4 separate regions of the Mus musculus genome follow, and all the other regions are reported to be linked to region 3. Evidence: microRNA targets listed by miRTarBase, many of them from high-throughput screens and not tested one by one. Region 3 holds a microRNA gene; each other region holds the end of a gene's coding sequence.

Region 1 (5,202 bases), not on the chromosome of region 3:
TTGTTGTTATTTTATCTCCATGTATACAGTATCCTACTAGAATATAATAATACCCTAAAAGAAAATAATTCCTATTCATAAGAAAAGGGCCCATAATGTTTTTTTAAATTTTATTTTATTTTTAATTTATTATTTATACTCCATATTCATTCCCTGCTCCCTGCCCCATCCACTCTCCAACTACTCCACATACCACACCTCCACCCCACCCCACCCCACCCCATCTCCACGTGGATACCCCCACCCCCCCACTCCACCAGACCTCTAAACTCCCTGGGGCCTCCAGGCTCTTGAGGGTTAGGTGCATCATCTCTGAATGAACACAGACCCGGAAGTCCTCTACTGTATGTGTGTTGGGGGCCTCATATCAGCTGGTGTATGCTGTCTACTTTGTAGTACAGTGTTTGAGAGATCTTGGGGGTCCAGATTAATTGAGACTGCTGGTCCTCCTACAGGATCTCCCTTCTCCTCAACTTCTTTCAACCTTCCCTAATTCAACATCAGGGGTCCAGGAGGAAGGCAGGACATCAAGTGAGGGATGGAGTTGTCATCCCATAGTCACATCTTTGACCCATAATTGTTCCTGTCTGAAAGAACTGCAGGGATGGAAATGGAGAGGAGCCTGAGGAAAAAATGGTTCAGAGACAGGTGCAAAGTGGGGTCCCGCTCAAGGGTAAGTTCTAAGGCCTGACACTATTACTGAGGCTAAGGAGCGCTCACAAAGAGGGACCTAGCATGACTGCCCCCGACAGACCCAACAAGCAGCTGTAAGAGTCAGAGGCAGATATTTGCACCCAACCAATGGACAAAGGGGCTTACATCTTTAAGAAAAACTAAAGACCAGAAAATTCAATGAATCATCAATCAACTCCCCTTATATATCTAAGAGGATATTTTATAATTGATTAATTCAGATAATGTCTCATTGTATATCCCTGACTAGCCTGGAACTCACAGAAAGCCCCCTGCCTCTGACTCCAGAGTGCTGAAAGTAAAGAGTGCACCCCACCCCACACCCCAACTAAGAGTGTTTAAAATCACTTGTAATAAGAGAGTGAAACTTAAACACATTGGAAGAAATCTTTTGAAAATTAAGAGCAAAAAGCAAGAGGGTATGAATGTGAACAGACACACATGCATCCTCTTCTCCCATGTACAGATAGATTCTTACCTAAAATCGTATCAGTAATGAAAAGTGTAAGAAGCTATAGGAAAGCAGGTGAGGTGGGGGAGGGGCCATAACTTCCCCACTGCTTTTTTTGTGCAGTGTTCAGCAGGTGCTTGTTTCAAGACAGGACTGATTGAGCAAATGAAAATCTAGCGGAAGGGTCATCTTTAGAGTAGTTATCAGAAATGCTTAACCCATGCCAAGACAAACAAACAAGAAATGTGAAAGTAATACCACATAGATGACTTGATTTTCCTGTTCCCTCTGAAGTACTCACGAACCATAAAGCAGCCGAGGTTTGATGAAAGGAAAGAGGAAGAAAACTAAGGGCTGGAGAAATGGCTGGGTGGGCCAGAGTGTTTGCAAGAGGTTCTGAGTTGAAATCTCCAACCCCACTTAAAAGCTGGGAGTGACTGCAGGAACCTGTGACCCCAGTACTCAGAAAGCTCTTAAGGCAATACAGTGAAGAGCAATCGAGGAAGACACTTGAATGTCTTTCCCTAACCTCTGCTGTCTGTGGGCACATGTATATATAAACACACACACACACACACACACACACACACACACACACACACACACACACGCAGAGAGAGAGAGAGAGAGAGAGAGAGAGAGAGAGAGAGAGCGCTCAAGTCCATCCCTTAGGAGTGCCAAGTCCCATCTGTGGTTTCTGTTGTTTTGGGCAATGATGACTTAATCACCCAATCCTTTCTGTCCGCATTTGATCGTAAAAAGGTCGTCATAAATAAACACACATTATATTTACAGTTGATAAAAACAATCTCTCATACCCATTAGTACCCCCAAGTCAGGATTTACTAAAAAACCTCTCCTGCTTGCCTAAGATAAGCAATAATAATGTTTATTAATTCATACAATAAGTGTTTATTAATTCATATAATAAGATAAGCAAAAATAATAAGTGTTTATTAATTCATACCCCCTTTTCCACAAAGGAAATTCTGAACGAATGTAATAACAGAAAGCAACTTCACTTGATACCTATTGTACTCTGCCATTTCCTGTGCATGTGTCTTTTTAGATAGCCATTGTTATCTTCCTCTAAAACGAAACCATCCCCTTCTTGGATTGTATCTTTAGGTAAACACTATTTAATCCTGCCTTATTCATCTGTGACCTAACATGTTCTCCTTAGATATGGAAGCAGCAAGAAGCATTAATTCCCTGGCCTGAAATATAGTCCCTATTCATTCTTAACTGAATAAACTGAAAAATCAAAAATAATAAGTAACAGAAATATGTAAATATATAAATGAACCGGAGCCCGGGCTTAAGAATACTTCCGAAGTTTCCATCTGAAATCCATTAAATTATACAGCAAAATGTAAAACTCAAATTAGTATCTTCAACACACACACACCACACACACCCCCAGAACACACTATGTACCATAGGGAAAGGGTAACTATGAACACACACACACCACACACACCCCCAGAACACACTATGTACCATAGGGAAAGGGTAGCTATGAAGAACTGTCTCTATTGCAGTGGCTTCCTGGAATTGCTAATGGCACGGGGTCTGGCATTAGAAACAGATTGATATTCACCCTTAGGAGGTGTGTGACCTTGACCGGCTGTGAAATGTTAACAACAATACAATATTGACACGTACTCCCGCCAGGCTGCAATTAAGATTAAGTGAAATAATGAGGGTACCACTTCTCAATTGCTGGACATTTGATAACTAACATCCAGGCATCTTAAAGGGAAGGAGGAAGATGAGGGAAAATGAAACAAAAGGCTTCGAGAAGACGGTGGTTGAGAGATGACTGATGGGGAAGTCCTTTACAATAAAATTTTAATTAGAAAAATACACAGTGACGCAGAAAGAAATACATTAATGTCTCTCTTCAGGACCCAAGGAGGCTTTTGGATGCAGGGTGGAAAGAAATGTTCTTCAATGTTCTTCCAGTGATTTTGGCATCTTGACCCTGTCTTACTGTAGTGGCTGCAAATCAGACAGGTCTAGACATCTGACCACTTCTGGACATAATTCTATTCACTGAGCAGGTAAGAAGTAAGACACCAGCTCTAAGCCTTTATCGCCTCTTTGTGTCAAAAACTGAATTGTATTTAGGAACAGAACCTATGAAAGATACCTTAAGAGCTGAACACTGGAAGGCTGACTGTGACATAGGTAGGGAGGCCTCTGTGGTTAGAGCAAGTTCCAGGCCAGTCAGAGGTATATACTGAGGTTCTGTTTCAAATGAAAGAATAAACAAACAAACAAATAAGTTGAGCTACAGTATTCGGTTGTTTTATTTTATTTTTCCAATAAAGAGCCCCTTTACATAGAGCTTTCATGAGAAATTAACATGGCCATTGATTCCTGTCCAACCGAATGCCCTAGGAGTCACTTCCCGCCTCACCCTCTCCAGAGGATTTCCCTTGGGAATTAAACACAAACAACTCCCCGGATTTTGATTAGTCTTGAATACACTCCTACCTTGTAAATCAGTAAACAAAGCTGGATGTAGAAAACATCCAAGTGTTATCTATCAGTAGTCCTGCACAAGCCCAGCAGGCGCAGCCTGGAGACCGAGGCCGCAGACCTGTTTACCACACTCCCTGCTTCAGTGGACTCTTACGTGGTGGAGGCACGGAGGGGGAAGCCCCTCTGTGCAAACTGCATTCACTTCATAGAAAAGCAGCTTTCTTCTTTCTCGCTGGATCAGCAGAAAACAGACACACACACACACACACACACACACACACACACACACACACACACACACAGCCAATAATATAGTTCATTTTCTTTTGATGCTAAAAGCGCATCAGAATTGCAAGGCCTTTCCTTATTGAAATAAAAGGAGCTACAAATGTGGTATATTACTAGGTCAGTACTGATGGTTAAATTCCCTCAGAATTGGCCCTTAATCAAAAGATTATTTTGTTACAACCTAGTGCACTTGCATGCCAAAAATACAATTTAGAGTTCACAGTACAAGGCTTTCTGGTATAAAGTGCCTACGAGAAGTTTCCTATCATATATGGTCGCCACAGAACTTCCCTGGAGGACAGACCCGTTGTTGATATACACCGTTGTCACTGATGGCTTCTCGGATAGAATGTTCTGAATGCGGAGGACCTACCCAGGAGATACAACATATTAATAAAGAACCCACACACCCATACCACTCAAGCACCAATAATCCCTTGCGCTCACCAATGACACATGATTAAGAAGGCATGCTGCTACAAACAGCAGTTACCAATCTCCTTAATGCTTAAATTAAAGTACTTCCTCCAACATTCAAAAAAAAACGGACTTTTTAAAGCAACTAGTCAGCCATGCCAACACAGGATTTTGTGTGATTACAGCAATTCAACATTAATAGAAATGGGCTCCCACCACTGTGCCCGCTTTGACACTATTTCACTGGGCACAAAGCTCATGTCATGTGCTGAGCTGACAATAAACAAGGTCGTTTTAAGATTGCCAGCATACCACATGAAAGTGAACAGGACCTGTGTCTTTGTAAAAATTACTTTTGACTAGTTCCCACTATAATTTAATACATCAAAAGATTACTTTTCTGAAAGCATTTGAGCAATGTAACATTCTGCCAATTATTGGCTTAAAGCAATTATAAAACTACCTCCCAGGTTTATTGTATTATTGGTTTAAAAGAACTAACAAATCATCCCCGTGACAGTTTATTCCATTATTAGTGCAAAGGACTTGAACAATTAAGGTGGAAAAACTCAAAATATAAGAACCTCTGATGCAGGAGGATGGTTCGGGTGGTACACGAAGAGCCTCTGTCCATTAGGGTGACAGCCGACCCAGATGTCGCCCGAGGAAGGATCAATAGATAAATTGTCCACCAGCGTGCCCAACTGCAGAACCTTAGGAAGAAATCATGTCAATATCTAAATGATGCAAGCAACCTGATTAAGTAATTTAGAGCAAGCCTTTCCTGCTTTGGTGCGTGTGGGGCCATTACATGCATCTCCCTGCACCTGCCCTTCTGACACCAATATCGTTTAAAATAAATCTAA
Region 2 (5,202 bases), not on the chromosome of region 3:
GGGCCTATGGGGGTCAGGGGGTTGCTTAATGCCCGTACTGAAGGTGGCTCCCCTCCCCTCCTTCCAGGCAATACTTCTCCCAGAGCGATCTCACGGGCCGACCGAGAGAGGAAGGTGAGCATGAGACTCCACAGAGGTGCCCCTGCCAATGTCTCCTCCTCAGACCTCACTGGGCGGCAAGAGGTCTCCCGGCTTGCAGCCTCACAGGTGAGTCAACTCTTCCAGGCCTCTCGGGGGCACAGTGGACCTAGATATTCTTGGTGTGTTGGTCTGACCCTGTGGCACCTTTCCTCCCCTGCCTCTGATCACCCTGAAGCTAATTAGCCCTCTTGTGTTGAGCAAAGCGAAGGGAGAAACTGAGGCTCAAAGAAATAACAGCCCAGTAAGCGCTAGCACTCACTGCGGTCTGGGTGGGCGACTCTCGGCAGTTCCCATCAGCACTGACAACAGCAAGGGATGAAGCGGGAGGAGGGAGAGGTCTTGTCAGGTCATCCCACTTAATGGCCATATTCGGACTCAGAATGTAGAGGAAGGGGCTTGGCAAAGGTAGATCTACCCGATCCTGCCTGTGGGAGACGAACTTCCTTGGACTCAGACCTGGAATTGAGCCAGCCTTGGCCTCCAAGCGGGGGTGTTTCGGCTCTAGAGCCAGGGGCAGCCTCAGACCTGAGATCACACAGCTGCCCTCAGACTGAGCAGCCTGCTGTGAGGGATGGAGCTCCATTGGGGGGGGGGGTGTATGAGACTTGGGGAATCATTGTGGCCACCTGCTTAAGGACCTGCCTTGAGACTCCCCCATATTTCTCTGTCCCCCTCTTGAAGACAAGCGTGCCATTTGACCATCTTGGGAAATGAGGAGAGCGACCACAGACCAGTGTTTGCTTAGGTGAGTACTGGTGTCTACTGAGGGCCCTGGAGGGCAGGGGAACGTGACGCAGAAGCAGGAACCTCCCCTTCTAATCTCTTCAAGGAAGCTTTAGATTTTAAAATCTGCCATCCAAGCTATCACTTCTCACAAGCAGTCCTGAATCGGTACACAGGGACACTTCGGGGAAACCCTTTTTCTGTCCTTGGGTCTTCTGTCCCCTTGATTCCTAGGAAAGACCAGGCTCCTGGCCACATGTGGGTTTCCAGGGCTTTAGCCTACCTCCTCCTTTTGGCTGTTATATAAGATGATATGTGCAGAGCCAAAAAGGAACCAGAGTGTAGAAGGGCCTTCATGTGTTTATACACAGGAAAGACCCTCTGGCCAAAGCTAGTTCGGGGTGGACTGCCTGCGGCTGTCTGTGGCTTGGGGGGCAGTACCTAGAAGCCTGGTTTGGGAAAGGGGCCACAGGCTCTTCTGGTAGTATTGGCTGGGGACCCAAGCTCCCTGCAGAACATGGATATTAGCAGGCAGTGTCCCACCCATTGAGACGTGCAGCTTCACACCGTGGTTTCTTAAGCAGACTTCACACTGCAGAAATTCTCCCAACAAATGGCTAATCAGTTCAGATAGACATGGGGCTGGGATGGCCGCTCAGCCCACCAGAGCAGAGGAGCGCATTGGCTGGGTAAACCGAGGCAGCCAGGCACCTGACCGTTGTCTTTTCTTCCCTCCTAGTGTCTTCACTGCATTTTCTTTAAAAAAAAAAAAATTAAATACAAATAAGAGAAAGGACAGAAAGAAAGAACAGTTCACATGAACAAAAAAGAGAAAAACAAACAAACCACAAAACCCACAACCCAGCACAAAGTCGACAATGGATTTTGTTTCTTTGATTTATTTTGCCAATGGCAAAAAGACAAGACCTCGTTAGCACTGAGGATTCTTGTTCCCTTGCCTTGCCCACTGCTCCCGACCTGAAGGCTGCCAACACTCCTCTAAGGACACTGGGTCACATGCCAGCCACCTGTTCTCGCCACCGGCCACCACGTGCCGGGCCGCCATCGGAGGTGCCTGAAGAGCTTGTGTCAGGGAGCGGTTTGGCCAGTCAGAGACAAGTCCCAAGAGATTTCATGGAGCCTTGGATGACACACACGCCATCAGCCCTTGGGTGATGACAGTGACCAGTGTTGTATGGGGCTTTCCCAGAATCCCCTTCCCTGAGCATCCTGGTCTCCCCCACACACACCTGTCACCTCTCTACAGAGACCCTGAGGGTGCGGTGAGATGGAGGCCATGATGCCTTGTGTGACTGTGAGTGTGTGTGTGTATGCATGAGAGAGAGAGAGAGAGAGAGAGAGAGAGAGAGAGAGAGACTGAGAGAGAGAGAGAGACTGAGAGACTGACTGAGAGACTGACTGAGAGACTGCTGACTTGTATTTTTCAGAGCTGCAGGTGGCCTGCCACGCCTGCCTGGCCAAGTTTCTGTTCCCCTCCTCCTAAAGTCAAGGTGGGGTGGACAATGACTTCCACATCCCTCAGGGCATAGAGTCCTTGCCACCACCTGTCCCCAGATGCCAGTGTGTGGCACCCCTCCCCCCCCAACTTCCATTCCTGATCTTAGGCAAGTTCTTGGAGTCTGCTCCCAGATGGCATCGGCTCTGAGATACCGGTTACTTCCCTGGTCCTGAGAGTCACCTGTGGTCACCCCTCTTCCCAGGCCTGACTTCTGAGTAGGACCCTGGGTCAGGGCTAAGTGTTGAATTTACCCTTCCTGGTTAACACCTGTTTTGTTGGTTTTTTTATTATTATTATTATTATTATTTTTGTTTGTTTTCTCAGTGTGTGTATTTCCTAATTTATTTACCTCTTTTTTTCCCCTTTCTTTCTTTTTTTTAATTAAAGAGCAAAACTTTTTATTACTTTGTAATTTAAAAAACTGAAAAAAAAATTACTGAAGAACTTTGGGGGGAATTTTGTACTTTTTTCCTGTGTAAATATTGGACTTTTTTGAGCTTTATTGTGGTTGTTAATTTGAAGTAATAAAGTAGAAAAGGACAAAGTGATATAGATACCCTCTGTCTGCCTCTTTGCTCTTGGGGTTTCTCATCGCTGACTTACCAGGGACTGTACATCACAAAGAAGCCATCAGCCTCAGGCAGCTGTGGCTGGGGCCATTAGGACCTGTCCTGTGGTATATCAAGCCTTCAGAGCTCAAGGTACACAGTGTAGCCTCTGGCCTCCGGGTGAGGAGAGCGCTCTTTAGGTGGTGCGGGGCCTAGGTCTACACAGTGAAAGATGAGGCTTCCCCCAAGACATCATGTTATTTATAGAAGAGTTCTGAGGGTTTGGGACACTTGCTTCCCTGCCAGAAACTGGCCTTGGGTTACAGCCTGGGTCAAGCCATCAGACACCTCTCCTCTGGTTGACCATGCAGTTCTGTGAGGTGATCTCTGCTCACCCTGGTGAGCAGGACCCTGGTCCCTTGGCCAGATCCTGATGTGGTAGTCTCCACTCTCACCCACTTTGTCTCACTGCTTGTAAACCATGCTTCCAAGTCTCAACACCGGCCACTGCGATAGCTTTCATCCCGGGGAGAGCAAAACTTGTGACAGATGGTGTTTTAATTAGGATTTTACTGCTGTGAACAGACACCATGACCACCGCAAGTCTTATAAATGATAACATTTGATTGGGGCTGGCTGACAGATTCAGAGGTTCAGTCCATTATCATCAAAGCAGGAACATGGCAGCATCCAGGCAGGCAGGAGCTGAGAGTTCTGTATCGTCATCTGAAGGCTGCTAGCAGAACTCTGACTTCCAGGCAGGTAGAATGAGGGTCTTAAAGCCCACACCCTGACACCTACTCCAACAGGGACACACCTTCTAATAGTGCCACTCCCTGGGATAAGCATATATAAACCATCACAGGTAGCAACTCCTGGAGCTTCCCTCAGGTCTTTCAGAGTCCTGGGCTTAGCTCAAAGGCCTTCCCAGTGTCAATATTTAAAGATTCTATGACCTCCACAACCTGGCCTGGAAGTTGCTGTCCTGCCAGCCCCTGTCACACAAGTGTCAGGGATCGGGGTTGTAACACAGACTTTAGAGCGTGTCACCCGAAGCCAGGTAATTATGGTTAGATTGAGTGGCAGGGGAGAGCTGGTAGACAGGGTTTGCCCTTCAAAATGCGTTTTATTCATTGCCTTTGCTGGCTGAAGTGCTGGAAAGATGCGGCCCCACCCGTCCCTGCCCAGGAAGTAAGAAGCTACAACGAAGCTCTGAAAAGATAACACAGTTGACCTGTTTCCCTTGTACTTTGTCTTACAGCGGGAACTGTGGAATGCATTTTGTTTTAAGGAGAGGTGGTGCTTTGAGACAAGGTCTCACGTAGCCCAGGCTGGTCCCTAATTCAATAGCAAGCTGAGAGTGGCCTCGAACTCCTCACCTCCTCCCTATTTCTCAAGTGATCACAGGCATATGCCACCATGCCTGGCTCAAAAATCATAGTTCTTAATGACAGTAATGTGTAGTTTTGCTATTTCCTGAGCACAGTTAAGATTCAAAATGGAAAGCCGGGCGTGGTGGCGCATGCCTTTAATCCCAGCACTTGGGAGGCAGAGGCAGGGGGATTTCTGAGTTCAAGGCCAGCCTAGCCTGGTCTACAAAGTGAGTTCCAGGACAACCAGGGCTATACAGAGAAGCCCTGTCTTGACCCTGATGCCCTCTTCTGATGTGTCTAAAGCTTCAATATACTTACATGTAATAATAAATCTTTTTAAGAAAAAGATTTAAGCCAGGCGTGGTGGCGCACGCCTTTAATCCCAGCACTCGGGAGGCAGAGGCAGGCAGATTTCTGAGTTCGAGGCCAGCCTGGTCTACAAAGTGAGTGCCAGGACAGCCAGGGCTACACAGAGAAACCCTGTCTCGAAAAACCCAAAAAAAAAAAAAAAAAAAAAAAAAAAACCAAAAAGAAAAAGATTTAAAACAGGACAGGGTAGTGGGGGGAGGAAGTTCAGAGAGTAAAGGTACCTGTCACCAGACTGTCACCTGAGTTCAATTCCCAAGCATACCCAAGCGGATGTAGAAGGAGAGAACCCAGTCTTGAACTCTTAAAAGTTGTCTGTGCCATGTCATGCTCTCGCTCTCTCTCTGACACAAACGTCACAAACATTAGAAATTTAAAGATCTCAAAACACCAAACTTTTAATATTACTGTTACCAAGTCGGACTGTGGTGGCACACGCCTTTAATCCCAGCACCGGGGAGGCAGAGGCAGGCAGATTTCTGAGTTTGAGGCCAGCCTGGTCTACAGAGTGAGTTCCAGGACAGCCAGGGCT
Region 3 (5,000 bases):
GGTGAAACTTAAGATACTGAATAAATTTGTATATATGCCACTTGGTAGACAATTCTAAAGTTTTTTTTTTATAGGCAAATTGGGAATTAATAGGATTATTTCTAATTGTTAATGGATTAAGAAATCACAGACATCCTAAGATGCACCTGAGTTCTAGCTCTAGGTCTGCCCCTGACTTCTGGGGGATCTTATGCTGCCTGGCTTTCTTTCTTCCACACCCACCTTTAAGGTCACACAATTGTGAGCTCTACCTTAGCTCCCAAAATGACAGTATTATTAAATCTTAGATTCTTACCTCTAAGTTTCTATATCTGTCTTTCTCTGTATAAAAAACTGCAAGTTTTCCTGTGTCATGGACTTCTTTTGATAAAGCAATTAGGTGTGAAGAGACCAAATCATTTTGGCTGTGAAGCAGTAGGTATCCTAGTGGAAGAAAAGATTCCATGCTTTTAAGAGTAAGAAATGGTTTCTACTTAGTGTGTACGTGAGGCACGTAAGCATCTGGAAGGGAAAGTGAAGAAGTTAGTGTAGGTGAGAGGTGGCTTCAGAATCGCATTGGCTCTGAGGAATGTTTAGGCTTTAATTTTTATTTGAGAAATGTGAGCCTTATTTAAGGTAAATAATTCTCATTAAGAAATGAAATGGGAAAAAAAATGTTAGCTTTTGGAGAAGTTAATTACTTTCCTAGAACATTTTTTAAATTATGTTTCTGTTCTTTGAAAAGAAGTTTTTCTTGATCTGAAAAGTTAATAAGTTAACAAGATTGAAATTTAAGTATGATATATTTGAATTATGATTTGTTCATAATTTTGAGTTTTATAACTCAGTTCTCAAGTATAAAATTCTTGGGTAGAAAATCCTCAAGTATGAATTTCTTTTCTAGCAATCGCAGAACCTGTTTTTGCTGTGGTCAAAGCTGACTGATAGACTGTGGTTTAAGTCATCTTATTCAAAAATGTCTTCAACCCTGCTGGTCGAGACAAGAAATCTTTATGGGGTAGTTGGAGCTGAAAGCAGGTTAGGCATCTATTAAATGTCACAGAACAGGTTAGACTGTGCTTGAAGAAGTGGCTATTCTTCCATGTTTTAAATGAGCTTATGTGCTAAGTCTTCAAAAATGGGACTTGAAGTATCAAGTGAGGCTGTTTGGCTCTTTTAGAAACCCAAGGTGCATGCTATGTTATAAGGACAACCTTATCAAACAGTGCTTCACAAATGCACTAGTTCTGAAAATTAATACAAAGTTGGAAAAGTTAATATATACTTTCCTGTTTTCAAATTTACTATTTCGTTTACTTAAAAAAAAAAACCCCAAAATTTTAACTAATGATGATAGTATGTGTTAGTCATTAAAAACAGAATTTTGTGTATATCTTGGCCATCTATTTTTGTTAAAAATGAATTTTCCCAAGGAATTTGGCAAATGCACATTGATAAGTAATACATGATTTATATGTGTGTGTTCAATGCAAAAGGAAGAACTAAAGAGCCTCTTAAATCCTATTGCTGTAGCTTTTTAATAGCAAGTTTTCTCTTTTAACCATTTACTTACTATTTTATTAAATATTTTCCTAAATGGTTATCTTACCCCCATCCCCACCCCATATTAGTATTAAACTTTCTGAGTAGCACACTGAGAAGTCTTGAGTGTCTTGTAACTGAGTTACTCAGCGTAAACATTTTAAATTGCTTAGAGCCCTTCATCCTACCCAGATGTGTTAGTTCTGCAGAATTCCAAAGCCTAGTAACTCAGGCACAGCGTGGTTCAGAGTCCTGAATCAGCAGCGTGAACTGCGGCCTGCCGGGAGGCCCGGGAGGCCGGCCTCTGCCTTGTTTCTGTTTCTGCTTTCTCCCTCAGGTCTGCACCTGTTGAGCATTTGGCAGGATGGCAAGTGGAGGAGCAGCAGGGTGAAACTGACACAGTGCTGGTGAGTTTCACTTTGCTGCTCCTCCTGACTCCCAGGGAGAGTTCTGTTCTTTCTGTTGGCAAGCTTCTCCAAGTGAATCCTTGAGGTGCTGGTACTGCTTTAGGATTGACGCCACTGTTTGTATGTGTTCTACTTACCCCAGTCTGCAGCGGCTCTGTGTGTTGGAGTTGGGAGCTTTGCTGATCCAGATGACCTGCCTGGGCTGGCACACTTTTTGGAGCACAGTAAGATCTTGTAAAATATCATTCCTGGGTGTGGTTTCCTTTTTCCCTTTACATTTGTATTAATTGACTTCAAAGATTAGTAATTGGTTAACTGAAGTACATTTAAACAAAGAAAAAGCTAAGAAGAAAAATGCTGATTTAGGAATAACTATAGGGAAAGACTTTTCATCTAAGTATACTTATATTATGGATTTGAATGAAAAGCAGTATCTTCCTCAATCTGTACTTTATTCATTGAGGTAGGGTCTCAGTCAAACCCAGAGCTTGCCAGTATGCCTGGTTTGCCTATCCAGCTTGCTCTGGGGAGCCTCTGTCTCTGCCTTCTGAAATGAACTTTACATGGGTTCTAGGGATCTGAACCCTCTTCTCACATTTGTTCAGCAAGTGCTTTAACCACTGAGCCATCTTTCCAGCCCCAAACCTGTTTTACTGTAGACATCATTAGTTGGCTACAGTATGGCGAACAGAGCAAGATACAGTTGTTGCTCTCTAGGAACTGGCCAGCTCTGGTTGGACTAGTCTGCTTCAATGTTCATAGCACCCAGTGACATCAGAGTGTTGAAAATACAATCAAAAGGTGTGATTAATATGCCACAAAAGGAACCATAAGTTTAGCTATGAGTATGTCTCAGTGAAAACACGTGGACATTACACAGCTACAAATGCTTACACATGTGATGGCTTTCTGCATTAGTCATTTTTTAAAAATATTTTTAGCTTCTAGGTTATTTGAAAGTGAACCTCTTACTTGACACCTTTTTATGGTAGTTGTTAATCTGCACATAAGCTTATGTTTAAGTTTTACCCTTTTTATAAGCAAATTACTCACCTGTTTTTAAACATGAAACATTTGGGTTTTCTTGGATTAGAAATAATGTGAGCATTGTAGAATGATGCACAGCATCAATGTAAAAGTGTTAGACACAGCCATTGTTAACATGTGACTTTATCTTCTATGCATAGAGAAGTTCATCTTTGATAATAAAAGTTTCTGTCTATTTCTTTCTGTTGTGTGACATTTTATTCTTCCCATTTAGTGGTATTCATGGGTAGTTTGAAATACCCTGATGAGAATGGATTTGATGCCTTCCTCAAGAAACATGGAGGTAGTGATAATGCCTCAACTGATTGTGAACGCACAGTCTTTCAGTTTGATGTCCAGAGAAAGTATTTCAAGGAAGCCCTGGATAGGTAACTATTACTTAATGCCATTATACACATGGAAATACTGGGCACGTTCTGTTGTATTTCTCTAAAACCGTCAGAATATTGGGGAAGAAGGAGCAAACTGTTACATGTCTTCTTCCTTCCTCTCCCTGCCTCCACCCCCACCCCCCCTTTTTCTTTCTTTTTAAGACAAGGTCTTACTGTATATGCATGGCTGTCTTGAAAGTCACTATATACATTAAGGTGGTCTTTAAACTCACAGAGATCACCAGCCTTTGCCTCCTGAGTGCTGGGATTCGAGGCATGTGCACCCACACTGGCTCCACATCCTGTGTTTGAACTCTCAGGAGCCTAGTGCTCACTAGGTGTCTAGCCTGGCCAGCAAGCTCCCAGGCTCTTCCTGTCTCTGCTTCCCTCGTGTTGACATTAGAGTTGTATAGCTCAGTGCCAGGCTCTTACGTAGTGCTGGGGATTGAACCCAGGTCTCATTGTTATGTAACAATCACTCTATTGATTGAGCCATTTTCCCCAGCTCCTCCTCATTAAAATCCAAACGTGAAATTAAAAAGATTGCTTCTTTAATAATGGCATCTAAAATAAAATGCTTCAGAATAAACTCAAAGTCAAAGACTTGTAATAGTAGAAAGTTAAAAAATAAATAATAAGTAAAGAGTGGCAGAAGAAGCTGTGCCATGCGCCTGACTTGTTAAGAATGAGAGCATAGAGGACTTCTTCTTGTTAAGAATGACAACAATTTCCAAACTGATTTATGGATTCGTCCCAATCACTTCACAATTTTAGTTGTCCCTTTACATCTGTGAGTGATACCGTAATTCATATGGGAAAAGTAAAAAGCAAAAATAACCCAAGTTATATTTAAGAGCAAGTTGGACTCTCATTTCCCTAGACTTAGAGCTGTAGAAATCCCAGGAGTGTGGTTCTGACATAAGGACAGACAGACACTGCTCAGTGGACTATAACCCAGATTCTAGACACAAACCGTTACACTTGCTGTCAGTAGTCTGGTGCCAAGACAGCCAAGTAGGAGAGAAAAGATGGTTAGCTTTCTGCCAGAACAATAGGAGAGCCACGTGCGAAGATATGAACCACAGTTCTTTATTCAACTGTATAGAAAATTTAACTCTAATGGGGTTACAGGCTTAAATGTGAGAACAAAAATTGTGAAATTTTGAAGAAAGTGTCAGCCTTTGTGACCTTATTATATTTGGTGATAGTTATAACGTGGTGTTTGCAAAGAGACAAATAGAATAATAAGCCACAGAAATAGATCATATAAATAATAATAATGTCACAGAAATAGCATAAAGGTGGACACTTACACAAAAGGGCTTTCTATCGGAATGCTGCCAAGACAATTGAGGTTCCATGGATATAGGAATAAAGTTGACTCTGCCACTCAAAGATACACAAAAATGTTCCAGATAGATTGTAGACTAAAAAGTGAACAAAATAGCTAATTTTTTAAGCCACAATTTAGGTAAACTTTGTCAAATAAGATTAAGAAATAAGTAAACAAACAAACCAAAGAACATAAAGGAAATGGTATACATAAAAAGACCCTGGAGACCTGGCTCAGGGGTAACCCCAGGACCATTCTTTATTAACACACAGACACAGACACACACACACAGACACAGACACACACACACTCACAGTAAAC
Region 4 (5,202 bases), not on the chromosome of region 3:
TCTGTCCACTTGGGGGCGGGGGTGGGGGTGGGGGGGAGAGACCATTTCCAACTGCCAGGTGTCTGTGACTTTGACTCACAATCGTTCCAGACTTTTCCATGGTCACATGATAACCTTTCTGGTATTTCAGGTTGGGAGGCCTCACAGCTGCTTGATCTACACCAAGTAGTAGATGGTAGTCATTGTCAAGCTGTTGTTTCTCAAGGTCAGCCTAGGACAAGACCAGCATCTGGATGAGAAAGGACAGAGTTCTTGTCAGAAAATTCTTTGGTAGCACGTGGTACATCTTCAAGCCCCTTGTTAAAATGGTGGACTATCAATCCACTTTGATGAATTCAAGAACCAATGAATAAGGATGCCTTTGAGACTGCCCCGTGAACAACTTGTAAATTCAAACTTTGTTGGATACTAGTATTGTCCAAAAGTCACTTTACTACTGAAACATGGGAAATGTTAAAAGTTTCTATAGATGATGAGATAGATGTACATGTTATATGTGGAAGTTTGAATGAGAATGGCTCCCAAAGACTCATATATTTGAATGCTTGTTTCTCAGTTGGTGGACTGTTCAGGAAGGAAGGAATTAGGAGGTATGTCCTTGTTTGAGGAGGTGTGTTCTGCAGGTGGGCTTTGAGGTTTCAAAAAAGGCCCACACTTGCACCTCCACCCATGACTGGCTGCTTGCAGTCAGGAGGTAGATAGTAACTATGGCTCTAGTTGAATGCCTGCCTGCCATCATGCTTTCTGCCATGCTGATCATGGACTAAACTTCAGAAAATGTAAGCAAGCCCCCAATTAAATTATTTCTTTTATAAGATGCATTGGTCTTAGTGTTTCTTCACAGCGATAGAATAGTAAGTAAGACTTTATATGTGTGTATATATGTGTGTGCGTTTCATAAAAGGCCCTGCATGAAACTGCTGGTCAGTACTTGGGATCCCAGGAATGTGACTTAGAGAACCAACTGAAAAAACGAGTCTCCAGCAGTCCTGCTTCTCCCTCAAATAAATAGGTCAGTAAAACCCAAACAATTCAACCACAGATAGTATCATACCAAGATCCAACTGTAGATGAAGTTTTATTTTGTTTTGGATTTCAAAGACAGGGTCTCAACTGTAGCCTAGGCTACATGGGACCTCACTAGGTAGTCCAGGGTGGCCTTAAACTCACAGTGACTCTCCTGGCTCAGTGTCTCAAATTCTGGGATTACAGAATGAGCCACTGTGCCCCATTTATAGAGATGAGTTTTAAGGTTTAAAAAAAAGGGGGGGAGAGGAACCAGGAAGGGAGATAATACCTGAAAAGTAAATAAATAAGATAACCAATAAAAAATGTGACTTGTTATTTTAAAAAGTAATGAGCAGTGGCAATCTCTATGTCTCTTTCTCTAGAGACCAACCCTTGACGTTTGTGTAAGTTTCACACCAGACTTTTTAGCAGAGCCTAGGCACCAACCACGTCACAGGCCTGCAGTCTCACACCTGCAGTTACAGTGAGAATCTCTGAAGCATAGTTTTAGCACAACACACACACAGGAACTGTTGAAGATTCTGCTGTGGTGAGGTGGCGACTGAAGAAGTGTCCCTGTCCTCCTGTCCTTTGGTCTGGAGGAGTCTCAGAGGCCCTTTCATTACACGGGATGTCCAAGTTCCAAAGGCTAGAGCAAAGGAGAGCCTCCTTGGGCACTAAGGACAGGCCAGCTCTGTAGGGGAAGTCGCTCTACACTGTCTGTTTGTGGTGGGAAGCCACGCTAGAGAGCACGGTTGGTCTTTAGGAAGCAGAGAAGAGAGACATTTTTATAAAGAAACTTTATTACCGAATTTCTGTATACAACAAATATCGAAAAAGGCTTCTCAATGAAGGTTTCTTGTCACTTTTCAAAAGTTTTAAACTATCAGAAGAAAAGTTATTAAAAAGCTTTCTAGATCAAGCATCATACACACCCCCAGCACATGGTACTAATTCTCATTGGTATTTTTTTCTGTATTGAAAGCAAGACATTTTAAACAACATGGAGAGTCTTTGTTCCAACAGCTACGTCATTTGCATTAAGATTTTACATATATAAAAGAAGTGAAGAGTTTAAATACTCAGAAATACATTGGATGTTGCTGCTTCCTTCCGATCTGTTCTGTGCACTCATAGGGACGTGGTTCCTGCCTACTAGCCCATCTCTGCATGGCCCAACGGTGCAGTCAGAGCTGGGGTGTTGACAAGGAAGACCGTGCAACCTCCTGTGTTAAATGGCAGAATTCCCACAGATCACATACACCTCACCACCTCAGCTCACTGAGCTCCATATCCTGCGAAAGTAAATCTAGTCCTTGACAGCTGACATTAGCGCTCCCTGACATTTTAGCAATATATTTCTTTAACATAAGACAGAAATATACCAAAATTTGATGCCACTTAAGCCCCCCAAAAAGAAATCTGGAATTAAATTGTATGTACTCATTTTCTTTCTTTTTCCTTTTTTTATTTCAATGGATGATATATATATATATATACACACATATATATATATAGGATTATATATATATATATATATATATATATATATATAGGATTATATATATAAGTTGGTGCTGGAAAAAGATGGCTTTTGTTACAAAACAAAACAGTAAAAGTTAAAGGGAAACAAAATTTTCGTTATTGGTGTGTGTGTGTGTGTGTGTGTGTGTGTGGTTAGTACTATAGTATGAGAAAAATGAAGGAAGAGTAAAACAACCTAGCATCTCTGTGGAGTGAGAACCTCCTTATTTATCTTCTTTGTCTACTCCAACACTCTGGCTTATATCCAAGGGACCCTGGGAAGGCCACCACACAGATGGGAGTGGGCAGAAAGGGCTGTGTGTGTCTCCGAAGGATGGATGCCAAGCTGTGACAATATCCCGTGAGACCCACGTCTGTCCTTAGCCACCCTACATGGAATCCTTCGAGATGATGTGAAAACTTTATGGAAGTCTGGAAGCCTCACCCGGGACTCTCCCCATGTTTCTAGAGAAGAATGAAGCCCGGGGTGTGCAGAGTAGCCCTGAGCTTGGGGTAAACATCTGGAGCTGGGGGGACCCCAGTGCTTAGGTAATTTTCCTGTGTGTTCCAAGTTAAAAGCACAGACGTCTCTAGAACTGGGTGATACTGAAGACTCGGCAGGATGGCAGGACCTTCAGGAGGTACCTGAGAAAGGCAGAGCTGCTGGATATGGGTAGTCTCAGCTTGCTTGCCCCGGCTTTTATTGCTTCCCACTGTGTCTGCAACTGTCACTCGCCTGTTCTCATCATCATTACTGAGTACGAGGGGCAGATGCCAGTCTTCCTCAAAAAATTTAGAAGTCTAAGCGTCTTTTAAAGCCACATTTCAGGATTAGCATTCAAAAACCACAACGCTCACTACTGAGACACCTGCCATATTGCTACAAGATAAAGGTCTGGCTTTCGGCTGTTTCCATACCAACCAGCCAAGTGCACCTCTGCTTCTTCCATTGCAAATTTGGCCTGCTCTGTGCAATTACAACCGGATCAGTGTGATTTTAAAATACTGATCTTATTAATTGTACAGCAATATAGTAATGTTGCCCTGAGAGTATCAATATATTTTATAAAGATATGAGTCCTATTGTGTACACGAAGATATAGGCACAATGGGGCTAAATGGCTTGTCCCTTGTACACACAGTGAAGTGTGGACCTTGGGCCTGACTATTCTGTCTTAATCCCCGACATCCTTGCTCCGACCTTCTGATGCTATGTGAAAGTCTGGTTTAGGTGCAGTACCTGTGAGATCCTGTTGGCCTTTTTGCACAGCATGGGATTATTTAGTGCTCAAGACTTCATACTAGGTCTTCTCTGATCTCTCTCTTTCCTACTGATGAAGTGTGTTGTCCCTAATATTTTATTTTGCACGGGGGAAATCTTCTAAAATGCTCGTCCAGATGGAGTTCACATGAGGCATGCAGAGAAAGGCTTATGCAGAGGCAATGGGCAAGCATTCTTCTTTGTGAACTTTGGACAAAAAAAAAAAAAAAATGGAGCCTAGTATTTTACACTTGTCTTACATTCTGCTGTTTTCAGTGGAAAATATAAAATAAAGACCTGCCCAGAGGTAATGTTTTGCATCTCTGCGGCAACCTTCCCTGAGTCCTCTCACATCTGGCAACAATGTAACATAAGGAACGACTTCAGACCTTCACACCCTTCGAGTGAGAAAAAACAACCTTAGCTCAGACTTTCCGTGCAGCCTAGCAATCTAACGCAGCGCTCCATCGTTATCGCAGCCTAGCAATCTAACACAACACTCCATCTTTATCGCAAAGGCCACATGTCTAGATGCTCTGTCCTTGCCAGTTCTCCTCTCTGCTGCTGAGCACCAGCTCTATGATGTCACTACACAACCTCCACCTCTTAATCAAAAGGAGGGTACCTACAAGGACAAAACTTGAAGGAAGGTATGCATTGGAAGAAAATGATGCCAAGGCTACATAGAAGCTTACCAAGAAGCTCCACAAAGCCATCTCCGTTTGCAAGAGCTACACACAGTTCTGGACCTAGTCAACAGCAAAATACATGGATGGGCAGAACTGCCATCTAGACGAGAGAGAGAGAAAGAGAGAGAGAGAGAGAGAGAGAGAGAGAGAAACATTTTCAGCAGCATAAACTGCCCTTATAGCTTCTGAAAAAATAGCTCTGTTAAGATAAACCACTTTTTGGTTTTTTTCAATCAGTTGTGCATTAAGAACACTTTGTTTTCACCGCTACCCCTGATTTTACAGCTCAGCTCTGTCTGCTGCTGCTGGGCTGCCGCTCTCTTTGATGCCGCTTCCTTCTGCCTCACTGCTGTCTGCAGGAGTGAAGGACAAGGATGCTGAGTTGATGCAGTATCTTTTGCCGGTCGGACGAGGTCCATCGTCAAAAATGTGCCCGAGATGAGCACCACACTGTAAGAGAAAAAGGATGCTTAAGGCACACATGCACCAAGTGGGCTTTGAGGGGAGTGTGTGGGAAGTCGTTGGAGTGGCTGGCTGGCTTGGGGAGGAATAGAATAATGAAAAGCATCCTGAACCATTTCTAATCTGCCTGTCAATAGCTGAAGAGATGGCTCCAGACAGACTTTGTACCACATGCTGAGAATAAAAAACACTCGAATTGTGCATATCAGACATCATTTAAGAGCCACTGTATGTTTTGATCTGTGAACTCTCTCAGTC

What was found. Region 3 holds the annotated microRNA mmu-miR-761 (GCAGCAGGGUGAAACUGACACA, at 1,901-1,922, shown strand). A microRNA usually pairs through its seed, bases 2 to 8, with sites in the 3' UTR of a target mRNA and lowers its output. Matches are read on the target gene's strand: a 7mer-m8 pairs with bases 2 to 8, a 7mer-A1 pairs with bases 2 to 7 and ends in A, and an 8mer does both.
Region 1: miRTarBase lists Pon2 as a target of mmu-miR-761. Seed matches in the 3' UTR shown: 7mer-A1 at 3,869-3,875 and 7mer-m8 at 3,716-3,722.
Region 2: miRTarBase lists Csnk1e as a target of mmu-miR-761. Seed matches in the 3' UTR shown: 7mer-A1 at 2,292-2,298.
Region 4: miRTarBase lists Msrb3 as a target of mmu-miR-761. Seed matches in the 3' UTR shown: 7mer-A1 at 4,640-4,646.

The regions. Positions count from the first base shown.
Region 1 is chr6:5,261,192-5,266,393 of GRCm38, forward strand. Pon2 (paraoxonase 2) reads right to left here. Exons shown (of 9, transcript NM_183308.3): 8 at 4,921-5,049; 9 at 3,429-4,288. The coding sequence ends at 4,130. Among named protein-coding and RNA genes, the nearest start is that of Pon3, 7.6 kb to the left of the region's middle.
Region 2 is chr15:79,415,589-79,420,790 of GRCm38, reverse strand. It overlaps Csnk1e (casein kinase 1, epsilon), which reads left to right. Exons shown (of 11, transcript NM_013767.6): 9 at 68-207; 10 at 823-886; 11 at 1,604-2,939. The coding sequence ends at 855. Among named protein-coding and RNA genes, the nearest start is that of Gm16059, 8.3 kb to the left of the region's middle.
Region 3 is chr4:109,015,769-109,020,768 of GRCm38, forward strand. It overlaps Mir761 (microRNA 761), which reads left to right and starts at 1,887; the gene lies at 1,887-1,962. Nrd1 (nardilysin, N-arginine dibasic convertase, NRD convertase 1) reads left to right here. Exons shown (of 31, transcript NM_146150.3): 3 at 2,071-2,152; 4 at 3,190-3,343.
Region 4 is chr10:120,779,307-120,784,508 of GRCm38, forward strand. Msrb3 (methionine sulfoxide reductase B3) reads right to left here. Exons shown (of 7, transcript NM_177092.4): 7 at 1,794-4,932. The coding sequence ends at 4,762. Among named protein-coding and RNA genes, the nearest start is that of 4921513I03Rik, 16 kb to the left of the region's middle.